3 linked regions of the Cricetulus griseus genome follow. The protein of the gene in region 1 interacts with the protein of each later gene in a biochemical or structural test. Links are inferred from orthologs where the notes say so. Each region holds a gene or a part of one and is shown in the gene's direction. Other genes may lie near its edges.

Evidence for each region.
Region 2: of the proteins of Lck (region 1) and Ptpn22, one has a biochemical effect on the other in vitro, tested with the Homo sapiens proteins (3 studies listed by IntAct, with this or other methods). The link is inferred for Cricetulus griseus from reciprocal best matches to the Homo sapiens genes LCK and PTPN22.
Region 3: of the proteins of Lck (region 1) and Ptprc, one has a biochemical effect on the other in vitro, tested with the Homo sapiens proteins (5 studies listed by BioGRID and IntAct, with this or other methods). The link is inferred for Cricetulus griseus from reciprocal best matches to the Homo sapiens genes LCK and PTPRC.

Annotation. Positions count from the first base shown.
Region 1 is NC_048595.1:23,478,343-23,482,481, forward strand, and holds the start of Lck (tyrosine-protein kinase Lck), read left to right. Parts: upstream 1-1,207; 5' UTR 1,208-1,213; coding exon 1,214-1,318; intron 1,319-1,739; coding exon 1,740-1,821; intron 1,822-1,986; coding exon 1,987-2,077; intron 2,078-2,356; coding exon 2,357-2,455; intron 2,456-2,720; coding exon 2,721-2,824; intron 2,825-3,090; coding exon 3,091-3,240; intron 3,241-3,488; coding exon 3,489-3,641; intron 3,642-3,771; coding exon 3,772-3,951; intron 3,952-4,139. UniProt on the Homo sapiens protein: Non-receptor tyrosine-protein kinase that plays an essential role in the selection and maturation of developing T-cells in the thymus and in the function of mature T-cells. Plays a key role in T-cell antigen receptor (TCR)-linked signal transduction pathways.
Region 2 is NW_023276806.1:53,075,392-53,079,571, reverse strand, and holds the start of Ptpn22 (tyrosine-protein phosphatase non-receptor type 22), read left to right. Parts: upstream 1-1,295; 5' UTR 1,296-1,407; coding exon 1,408-1,494; intron 1,495-4,180. UniProt on the Homo sapiens protein: Acts as a negative regulator of T-cell receptor (TCR) signaling by direct dephosphorylation of the Src family kinases LCK and FYN, ITAMs of the TCRz/CD3 complex, as well as ZAP70, VAV, VCP and other key signaling molecules.
Region 3 is NC_048598.1:51,232,645-51,236,290, forward strand, and holds part of Ptprc (receptor-type tyrosine-protein phosphatase C), read left to right. Parts: intron 1-588; coding exon 589-649; intron 650-1,949; coding exon 1,950-2,058; intron 2,059-2,714; coding exon 2,715-2,749; intron 2,750-3,646. UniProt on the Homo sapiens protein: Protein tyrosine-protein phosphatase required for T-cell activation through the antigen receptor. Acts as a positive regulator of T-cell coactivation upon binding to DPP4.

The DNA of each region.
Region 1 (4,139 bases):
GCCTTTAATTCCAGCACTCAGGAGGCAGAGACAGGTGGATCTCTGTGAATCCGAGGCCAGTCTGGTCTAACAGAGTGGGTTCCAGGACAATAAGAGCTGTAACACAGAGAAACTCCGTCTCCAGAACAACAACAACAAAAAAGACTGAAAGATGTAGTAGGTCTTCCTTAATATCAAAGTGGTCAAAAGCATGATATTGTACACCTTGATTAATCCCTAGCACTCACAGGCAGGCGTATCTCTGCAAGTTCGAGGCCAGCCTTGTCTGCACTGGTCTACATGGTGAGATGCAGGCCTGCAGCTCAGCCATGGCTACATATGTAAGACTTACCGTTAAAAAAAAAAGAAAGATTTGAATCTCCTGCTCATAGTAAATCATTCTCTGAGGACCAATGCTCTCCAAGCAGTTCCGAGGTGGTAACAGCTTTAGGGAAGGAGGTACACAGACAGGGATTCCAGAGGCTTCAGGGGGAGTCCCCACTCTGACTTGATTAGAACAGCTCTACTTCATTTGCTGCGTCTTTGAGGTTCTGCTTGACTTCATTTGACAAAAGTTTCCACAGCTCAGACAGGCAAGCAAAAGCTGCTACAGGCAGCAGAGCGACTGAAGGGTTTCCTTCTGCTGGTGAGAAGCAAAAGCATGTTAGCAGAAACAGTCTGAAGGAGCCTGTGCTGTGAGTGGGGGTGGGGTGCTGGGGGCTGGCAGAGGTCAAAGGTTGACTCCAAGGAACAGGAGCCTCTCAGCTTCAGTATCTAGGCAGCGGCCTTGAAATTATAGGGACATGCATCCTCCTTGGTGGAGGAGGGTGAAATCAAAATTTAGGTTTCCCCCGGGGCTTGGCCCAGTGTGTGTGATGTCTCCCAGGTAATCCCTCCAAAGTAGGGAACTAGCAGGCCTGAGGAGGCAGGAAGTGGGTAACTACACTAACAAAGGTGCCTGTGGCGGTTTGCCCACCCCAGGTGGGAGGGTGGGGACTCGATTTGGGCCTGGGCCTCCTGTGAACTTAGTTGTTGCTTGAGGGCTCAGAGTGAACCAAATCAGGATCTAGAATCCCACATTTTGGCTCTGGCTCTTCTATATGGCCAATGGGAGCCCCAGAGCAGACAGTCTCAGGAGTTCTGTAAACTCCAGGGCAATACTCTAGGATGTCTGATGCTGGGGGAACCGACTTAGGGGAGCTCCTTCAGGCCTCTCTACGTTCTTTCAGGGATCATGGGCTGTGGCTGCAGCTCAAACCCTGAAGATGACTGGATGGAGAACATTGATGTGTGTGAAAACTGCCATTATCCCATAGTTCCACTGGACAGCAAGACCACGGTAAGAGGAAGACGGAATGGGTAAAGGGAGGCTGTGTGACCAGGAGGAAAAAAAAAACAAAGCAAATGAATCATAACTAAAGGTCCTGGAAATAGCCAGGTGGTGGTGGTGTGTGCCTTTAATCCCAGCACCTGAGAGGCAGAGGCAGGTATATCTCTATGAGTTCAAGGTCAGCCTGGTCTACAGAGTGAGTTCTAGGACAGCCAGGGCTGTTGCACAGAGAAAGGTACTGGAAATAATAGAGAACCCATGTCCGCTGGAGTACAGTAAGGAAGACATCAGAGAGCAGAACGGACCTTCCTAAGGTCAGGTGCACACAGAGCTGGTGAATCCAGAGAGAAGGCTGGAAAAACGGAAAGAGCAGAGGTGAGGGGAGCCGGGTCAGAGAAAAATGACCCAAGCCTCATTTCCTACTCCACAGCTGCCCATGCGGAATGGCTCTGAAGTTCGGGACCCACTGGTCACCTATGAGGGCTCCATCCCACCAGCCTCCCCGCTGCAAGGTGACTCCATCCAGCAGGGTGTGAAGCCTGTGGATGGTTGGCCGTTGGTGTCCATACCCTCTGTACCTACCCTCAGCCTTGTCTGCATCCTGCCCTGTGCCCCTTGAACTCCATTGTTCCCGTCAGCCCTGGGCTGCTGCTTCTTGACTCTTCGTGTCTTTACAGACAACCTAGTTATCGCTCTGCACAGCTATGAACCCTCCCATGATGGAGATCTGGGCTTTGAGAAGGGTGAACAGCTCCGAATTCTGGAGCAGTGAGTATCCTTCTAACCCACCTTGCCGTGTGTGTGTGTGTGTGTGTGTGTGTGTGTGTGTGTGTGTGTGTGTGTCTGTCTGTCTGTCTGTCTGTCTGTCTGTCTGTCCGTCCGTCCTCAGCCCTCCTACATCCCTGACAGGCCTCAGGTGAGGGCTTTTGGAATAAGGTAGAAAGCACTAGAATGATCATACCAGGGAGTGGTGGCCTGGCCTAACTGGGAACTCTGAGGGTTTCCAGGGCCTACGTAGGCCATGCTGATGGTCTCTCTGTGGCGCAGGAGCGGTGAGTGGTGGAAGGCTCAGTCCCTGACCACCGGCCAAGAAGGCTTCATCCCCTTCAACTTCGTGGCGAAGGCAAACAGCCTGGAGCCTGAACCGTGAGCACGGGACCGTGTGGGAATGGAGGAGAACATCTAGGGATCTCAAAGAAGGGCGTGGTCTTGGGGGTGGGGGATGTTTGCCAGTGATGGAGGGATAATTGACCAACAAGCCAGGCAAGCCTTTAATCCCAGCACTCTGGAGGCAGGGGCAGGGGCAGGCAGATCTTTGAGTTCCAGGTCAACCAAGGCTGCAGATTTAAAAAAAAAAAAAAAAAAAAAAGAGTCGACCAACAGCCAATGGTCTTTCTTCTGCTCTTTGTAGCTGGTTCTTCAAGAATCTGAGCCGTAAGGACGCTGAGCGGCAGCTTTTGGCGCCTGGGAACACGCACGGATCCTTCCTGATCCGGGAAAGTGAAAGCACCGCGGGTAAGAGGCAGGACCCTGTGGGCGGGGCCTCTGCTTGTGGGCGGGGCTTCGAGTTGAGGGCCATCACCTCCCGGTGAGGAGGTGTGCGGGGGTGGTGGCCTCCTGATTTACCGAAGGCAATCCTCTCTCTCCCTCTCTTTTTTTCCTCTTCAACTTCCCTCCTCCTCCTCCTCCTCCTCCTCCTCCTCCTCCTCCTCCTCCTCCTCCTCCTCCTCTTCCTCCTCCTCCTCCTCTTTTCCTTCCTCCCGTCTCCAATCTTTCTTCAGGATCTTTTTCACTGTCGGTCAGAGACTTCGACCAGAACCAGGGAGAAGTGGTGAAACATTACAAGATCCGCAACCTAGACAACGGTGGCTTCTACATCTCCCCTCGTATCACTTTTCCCGGCCTGCACGAGCTGGTCCGCCATTACACCAGTGAGCAATGGCAGAGCGTTTTCACCTGTACCCACCCTAGCGGCCTATCTCCCCCCAAGTCGTTCCTAGGGACCCTCCAAGCATCGGCAGTACCTGACCCTCCACCCTGCAGGCTAACGTTGGGTGACAGGCTCCCCTCCCATGCCGGCCTATTTCCCCTGTGCCGAACGTGGAGAGAGGTAGGGGCTGGAGGGAGCACCCAAGGTCTCCAGCAGTGACCGCCTTACTCCTCTCCTCTGTCATTGCAGATGCCTCTGATGGGCTGTGCACGAAGTTGAGCCGTCCTTGCCAGACCCAGAAGCCCCAGAAGCCGTGGTGGGAGGATGAATGGGAGGTTCCCAGGGAGACACTGAAGTTGGTTGAGCGCCTGGGAGCTGGCCAGTTTGGGGAAGTGTGGATGGGTGAGTGTGGAGGTCAGAACTGATTGGAAAGAGAGGAGGAGATGTCACCAAGATGTGAGACACTGGCCTCTTCAGGGCAGCGACTAGTTCAGGGATCTCTGCAACTCCCTCACCCGCAACCCACCTCCAGGGTACTACAACGGGCACACGAAGGTGGCAGTGAAGAGCCTGAAGCAAGGGAGCATGTCCCCCGATGCCTTCCTGGCGGAAGCTAACCTCATGAAACAGCTGCAGCACCAGCGGCTGGTCCGGCTTTACGCAGTGGTCACCCAGGAGCCCATCTACATCATCACAGAATACATGGAGAACGGTGGGTGTCCCTGCTATGTCTAGCCGCTTGAAGGCGCTGTTGTCGTCCACTGTCTTTTGCACCCGGGGTAGGAATGTGCTTGTTCCTGCTCTGCTGCTGAGGGTTTCTAAGGAAGCTTCCCTGGGCCAGACTTTGGAAAAACATTCATTCTCATCTCCCCTGGTCTGCAGTTTCTGTTGCCTTCTTCC
Region 2 (4,180 bases), on another chromosome or scaffold:
ATCATGATTTTTCTGAAGGGGGTTTGAATAATGCAAAAGCAGAAAGAATTGCTAATATCTTAAATTGAGGAAGTCCGAACTACATCTTTCCCAGTTTACAGACTTGAGACTAATTTGTAACATGCTGTTTGTTGAACTTCCTCCTTTAAAGATAATATATTCACTTGGGGTGAATTAGATCTTGGGTGGATTTGTACCCATTGAAGAGAGAATTTATGCAAACGGAGGCATGGAAGCTTTCTCTAGAGCAGCCTGCCTATCAAGGCACAAATGCCATGAGTAGGGGATGGCTTCCTGAAATGGGATGTTTTCTAAGACTGTGGCTGTAGGGCAAAAAATGTCAAAATGTCTTCATGAGAATCACTTCTTTAGGCTTTCTCTCTCCCTCTCTCTTTCATTCTTCCTTTCTTCTCTGTCTCTCTCTTTCTCTGTCTCTGTGTCTCTCTCTCTCTTTCAGTTTTTGAGGGAGAGGTCTCATTTTGTTGCCCAGGTGTCTCAAACTCCCAGACTCAAGTGATCCTCCAGTTGGGTGACACTCCTGAGTAGCGAGGACCCCAGATTGCACTGCTATACTCACTTCTCCCAAGACTTTCTGACCTAGAATCTGTATTACACTCGACAAATTAAATTTTAGTTTTCATTCCTTCACTGTCTACTAGCAGTGCGTTCTGAGGATAGTGTGCTGTCTACCAGGTGCTTCTCCTCCATAGAACAGTGCTCTCCATGTTTGTATTCAGAACCCAAATAAGGATCAAAGCTACTGCAGGTTTGAAGAGGTACAGAGATCAACACTTCCCTCTATGGGGGGCCAGTACTTCCCCAGCCGTGAGAGAGACTGCCTGCCTGTCAGAAGCAGTTGACAAGTTCTGAAGTAAAATGCCTGCTCTGACTTTGGCGACAATAGTCCAGGTAGAAGATAGATAACTCCAGTGTCTGTCTCCTTCCCTGTAGAGGGACGGCAGGTGCTCATCACCCAGGCCTTTGCTCTCCTGGGGAATGTGGAAAGGCTGAACACACCTTATGTTAGAGCTGTACTTCTGTCTGTTGTCTGGGAAGCATCAAGAGAGGTGAGGTGAGTACTGTGGAAAGCTGGCAGAGTCCCCCAGCTAAGCAGACCACAGTTTAATGTTCTGGTTAGCCTCTTGTTCGCTACATTTGAACTGTAGCCAGGTTTCTTTGTTGAGAAAGGAAGGCGCTAGGGCCCTGGAGGGAGATGATGGCTTTGTTGTGTGACCACAGAAGTTGGTTTCGTACTAATTTCCTCTAGGGCTTGTGATGCAGTCAGTAAACCACAGCCTCCAGCGTGCTGTGCTCAGGCAGCAGCAGTGGCTTCTTGGTGGTGTCTTGGCCATGACACACATTTGACATGCCCTCACTTAATTCACTCACAGACTTTTGCTCTGCGGCATGGACCAAAGAGAAATTTTGCAGCGGTTACTGAATGAGGCCCAGAAAAAGAAAATTAATAATGAGGAGTTTGCCAATGAATTTCTGGTGAGTTCTGGGATGTTTGAAAGAGGAGTTAGATGCACTGTTTAACGGTCTGCTGTGGTCTAACCTGCCTAGACTGAATTGCTGTAGGGACAAATTGAACATCAGAGCTTGGACTACAAGGGGTTGCGTGGGGAGACAACCTAAAAACATAACTTCTGTGAGTTTTGTTGTATCTGTGTATTCAGCATTTTTTTCAGGTATGCTGGTTTTATTGTTGTGTTTGTGGGTTTTTTTGAGTTTATCAGTCCTATGAAGGTATATACAGATGTATGAATATTAATACCTTTTGAGCATCTGGAGAAAGCATTTGAGTTGTGTTTTAAGCTTCAAATTACTCATTTTAATTGATACCAAAAAGAAAGAGACTAAGAGGAACTCCTCGTGTAGTGTTGAATTTTTAGACTCCCTATAGGATATCATTTGGATGACAGGCTTTTGAATTACACCAAAACTGTCATTTGCCACTTTATTCTATTTTCCCTTTTCTATTGACAAGTTTTTTTCTTTTTTCTTTTCTTTTCTTTTCTTTTCTTTCTTTCTTTCTTTCTTTTTTTTTTTTTTTTTTTTTTTGGTTTTTTGAGACAGGGTTTCTCTGTGTAGCTTTGGAGCCTATCCTGGCACTTGCTCTGGAGACCAGGCTGGCCTCGAACTCACAGAGATCCACCTGCCTCTGCCTCCCGAGTGCTGGGATTAAAGGCGTGCGCCACCAACACTCGGCCTAATGACAAGTTTTTAGAACAGCATTTTCCTTTTTTTTTTGCCCTAACTGGGTTTCTTTAACTTCTATTGTTTGGAGAAGAAGTGGACTGGGTAGAGTGGGAAGTAGAGACAACTAGGGGACACAGGAACAAGGTAGCCAGGGAGCAGGTGGACTTGACTATCCAGAAGACAATGGGTCTCCTTGTAGGGGAGCTGTAGTTGTCAATGCAGTAAAAGCTGGGCAGGCTATATGGCTCCATGTCAGGTACACTGGAGAGTGTGGGATCTGACAGACATGTCATGGTTTTGATTTTATTGTTTTGCTTGGTTTTTGTTTGTATCACTGTGTAGCTTATCTGCCCTGGAACTTGCTGTGTGGATCAGACTTGGCCTTGAACTCACAGAGATCCTTCTGCCTCTGCCTCCTGGTTTCTGGGATCAAAGGCGTGTGCCACCACTCCAGCCTGTTATGCTTTGAAATGCTTCTAGTTGGTGTTTTAGAATTATAAGAATATTGAGTCTTAGCCCTTCAACTTTTAATTGCAAAAAATGAATAAAATCTTTGTTTTCTAACTTACAAAATGAGGATAATAATATATAATATATGTCTTATCTACTCTCATTGGATTATTGTGTTGATTAGACACAAATAATTATGATAATTAAATACAAGGTACTATGGAGGTGCCTAGAGTGCTAGCTACTTAAGGCTGAGGTCAGTTGGACTGTGAGTTCAAGGTTAGCCCATCCAGCTTAGAGGGACCATATCTTGAGAAAAAAAAAGAAAGAAAGAAATAATTCATTAATATTTATTGAGCACTTACTGTATACTAACTTTGTTTTTTCACCCTAAGATATAGTAGTGAATAAAATGTCTTTGCCTTCCAGAGCTAGCATTCTAGGACCAGATATTAGATGAGAAAACACTCTATGAAGTTTTCACTGACTGGGTATCATGATTAGATATCACCGTAGGCTAGTGTATAAGCAGCTCAACTTTGATGCTAAGGTATTATGCCAACTCAACTTTCATATGGTCATGATGTCATAAAAATGTATTCTTTCTGCCACAAGTCCTCAGAGTAGGTTTGCCACAGGGTAGAGTTCCATATGTCTGCTTAGATATGTGGTTGCATTTTGACTGTTGTTCTTGAGTCAATTTGTGAAGATATAGAGGGGAAAAAAGTGATCTGAGTGGCAGTGTTAGCTTCTGTCTTATTTTTTTATTGTATTTTTCAAAACAAAAGACTGTATCTCTATATTTTAACCCTTGTAGAGGTCATTATAATCTCTCACCAAATTGTGGTAGCCACCTCCTGACCATGTTCTCTGCTTCTAGCCTTGTCCCACCTTCAGCTAATTTTCTTGGATAAGGTCTCACTAAAGTAGCCCTAGCTGGCCTGGAACACATTCTATAGACCAAACTAGCATCAAACTCAAAGATTCACCTACCTTTGTGTCCAAGCACAGCGATTAAAGATGTGCACCACCATGCTTAGTGCCCAAGTAATTTTTTAATGATATAAATCTGGTTATACTTTTCTCAGCTTAAGAACTTTTTACAGCTTGTTTTTTTTTAGCTACTTGTAATTTTTAGCTATAATACATATTTAGAAAACTACATAAAACGTGCGAATATAATGATAAAGGAACCATTGCCAATGCAGTCTCCACTCAGACGAAGAACTACAGTAGCATCAAACTCCAAAAGATCCCTAGCTCTCCCTTTCCCAGCAGGGTTCTCCACCCACCCCACCCCACCCAAGAGTAAATCACTGTCCTGGCTTTATATTAATCATTCCCTTGTTCTTCTTACTCCTGATTCTTAAGAACCTTGTTTTGGGGTGGTGATTAAGTGGAACCTCACTGTTCACTGACTCATGTCCTCCAGTGGAAAAACAAGAGTTTCACACTCAGCCCCACCTATAGGTTCAACTGAGACACCAGAAAAATAGCTTTGGGAGGAGAGGTATTGGGAAGTGGGCCA
Region 3 (3,646 bases), on another chromosome or scaffold:
CGTGCTTGTTTGTCACGGTTGTCACATCATGTTAATCCCCTTTAATGATATTCAGATCTATTTTAACATAATTTATGTGATATCAGTAGTTTTGTTTCATCAACCCCTTCAGTGTCCTTTCCTATCAAGCTTATTTTCTGTATTTGTATTAAATTTTGTGAGTTGTAGGCATTTATGCTAGTTATTTCCACACTGGCATTTGTTCATGTCTTTTACCCATGCACATTCCACACCTGTCTCTTGTAAACAGCAGATTTACTTTAAAAATAAAATGTGAACCTACTAGCATATTAATAGACAACTTTCCTTTTGTCATTTACTCTACCTTGAAATTGTTAACTCTGGATTTTATTTCTTGAACTGTGTTCTTCCATTTCCAATTGTTATTGCTGTCATTCCTAAGACAGGTAAGCCCCTCTTCTATCTTTTAGGCTGGATACAATGAAATAATCTTAAAGTTTCAGCTTTGACTTAGAAGTTTTTAATGAAAAGAGGCAGCATTGTATGAGAAATAATGTACATTTTACAATATGCCATTCACACTAACAGAAGAAAACTAAATTGTTTTCTTTTTCAACTGAAATTTAGGTCTCTTTTTACAATGGAAAGTATGAGGGAGAGGCAGTTTCTCAAAATCAATCAACATCTTGTAAGTCATCCTGCCCTATTTTTTTCTACTTCTATGTGTATGGATTTGCTTGAGCAGAGCTGTGCTATTTTGCATCCATCAATTGACTCCTTAGTTGCTTGCACATACTTTATAAATACCTGAAATTTTCAAAAACCTCTGAGTAAACACAGATTAAAATACAGTATAATAAAAATTTAATTAATAGATTTGATCACTTAGTCACTCAGCAGATGTTGCCTTCATTACAAATTTAGAGAGTATTTATTTACAGACAGGTAGTTTTGGTAGCTCCTTTAAATGTGACTGTGGTGTTTGGTCCATATATGTGCTACAGATGTGTGTACTGATTATACTCTGATTTCTAAGATACCTTATACATAGGGAGCATCATTATAGACCATAAAGCGCACGTATGCGTGCACACACACACACACACACACACACACACACACACACACAAGGTTTAGGGGTTATGAACAGCTACCTTTCTCTGTGTTCTACACAGCCCACCATTTACTGTAACTACACCATTTAACCTCGTTTCAGGAATTAAGGAACTGAGGTGCAAAGGTAATAGGATTCCCTTTCAGGATGTAAGAACTAAGGTTGGAAGCTCAGCAGCCTGGCTCTGGGGCTCAAACTTTGATGCCACTGCATGGGTTTATTGGATTTCCATTGTGTGGATGAAAAGGATGGCACATCACCCAGGATAAAGACATTGCCAACCCTGCTTTGCTCTCCTTTCCCTATGCTTGTGATTTACATTGATTCTTAGTGAAAATTCAAGCAAGGGAAAGTGTTAATCCTCACTGTCAAATGAAGTAAATTTTGTCTCTTGGTTAATTGGTTTTATCCCCCAGTGAGCATGTAAGAGATTTATCTTTGTGGGGTAGAAGCTTTTATGAATCCCTTAGGAGGCTACCCACTACTGTGCTCAATGATAAACTATGAGTTTCTTTCTGAAAGCTGTAATAACTGCATTACCTCATTGATCCCTTTAAAATGACTCTCTGAAAGGGAATTAAATCTAAATGATAGTTTTCTACAAAAGTACAGTATTTAATGAAAAGAAATGGAAGTGCTCATCTATATTCTAATTAGTCTCTTTAAATATAAATGCCCTGGGAATTTTGAAATAACAGAGCCCATCATTGCAAAATCAAGATTTTAATGTATTTCAACTTATTCTAAAATTTTTGCTTTGAGTCTTCACCATAAATGAAAAAAAATACTAAAATTCTAGTTCATGAAGGTCACTCACATTGTCTACCAAAGTATATGACATGATTATCTCTTGTGTGTCACTTATCATTTCTAGATAATGCTAAAGCACTGATTATATTCCTGGTGTTTCTGATTATTGTGACATCAATAGCCCTGCTTGTTGTTCTGTATAAAATCTATGATCTGCGTAAGAAAAGATCCAGGTAAGAGACTATTAATTTTGAATTAGGAGGCAATAGTAGTTGTAATAATTTCACAAACTGTTCAAAATGCATTAACCGAGAAATGGACTAGAGAAGACAGTATGAACTTCAGTTAATGACTGAGTTGGGTGTCAAAGACTTAACATGGAATTACTGTATTACTGTAAGCACTTATATTCTCTGCCTTTGCTAATGATATTGTAGGCTTGTTTTGATAATAATCAGCACAAAGCATGTGTACCCTCTCATTTAATCCTCAGTAGATGAAAGTAATATGGGAACAGCAAATGCAAAAGGAGGGAAGTTCTGGGGACTTTGTTTATTTCTTTGCCCAAGAAGATAAGTATTTATGAAAAATGGGAGAATCCATTTAACTCTTTCTCACTCTTCTGAAATTTACAGGCAACTCTTGATTTCTTTCTTTGCTCCCTTGGTTTCTTCACTCTCCCCAAGTTCCTGTTTTACCTCTCCCTTTTTCTATCCCTTTCATTCTCTATCTTCTCCTATTCTCCTCTAACCCTTCTTCTGTTAGCCTTACCTCTATTTCCCCCTTCACTCAATACATTTATAAGATGGTGTTTGTTCAGTTAAGTTGAATGCCAACTGAATTCCATGTTCCTTACAAATATAGAAACTCATCTTTCTTATTTTCACAGCAATTTAGATGAACAACAGGAACTTGTCGAAAGAGGTAAGTATAAATAATTTTTACTGATGAATATTATTTCTCTGAATTTGCATTCTCTTATTGCAAAATCAGGGATGTGTATTTTTAATTAAATCTGGACTTTGTCTATTGACACATGATGAAACAAATTTATTTTTTTCCAAAAGTAGCCATGTATGTGAAGTTTTCAAGGTATCACAAATACTATCCATGGCACTGAGAGTACAACAGTGAGAGACCATGGTCTCTGGGAATATAATAGAGGAATCCAAGTGTGTTAATGAGTAAGAACAATTTGGTAAATATTATAGCTGTTTAATGTACACAGTTCTGTATAAAGAAAAATGATAGACAATTGCCTGTGGAGGGTGCAGGAATTTGGTTGGCTAAGACTTCTGGGAAACATCAGACCAACTAGTGAGTAAGGAAGAATGGGAGAGCAGATGGTGATGAGGTGATAATGGAGGTAGACATTGTATAAAGAAAAGACATCCCTTATTTTATATAATTATTTTATATAATTATTTTTATATAATTATTTTTTAAGGTTTTAAAGACAGAACAAAAACAGTCAATCATTAAAGATATTTAAACTATGCTTATGATAATTAAAGTAGCTTGTTTTTCCATTATATAAGACACAGAATTTCAGAGCACTTCTCTATCTTTTGTTAACTCCTGTGTGAAGGGTTTCCTTCTGACAATGGGAGGTACCAAGTTTCTGTGCAGCAGCTTTTGGGATGGTTCTTCAGAGATCCTTAATTTTAGTCTCTTTTAGAGACTGTATCACAACTTGACACTTTATTTATTCATGTCTTTGTTGGTTAGCCTGCCATAGGTAGGTTGCAGAATTTGGGAAAGTTCCTCCTTTTTTTCAGTGTTTTCTCCACAGTGCCAGGGTGAATATATAGAATTAGTGCA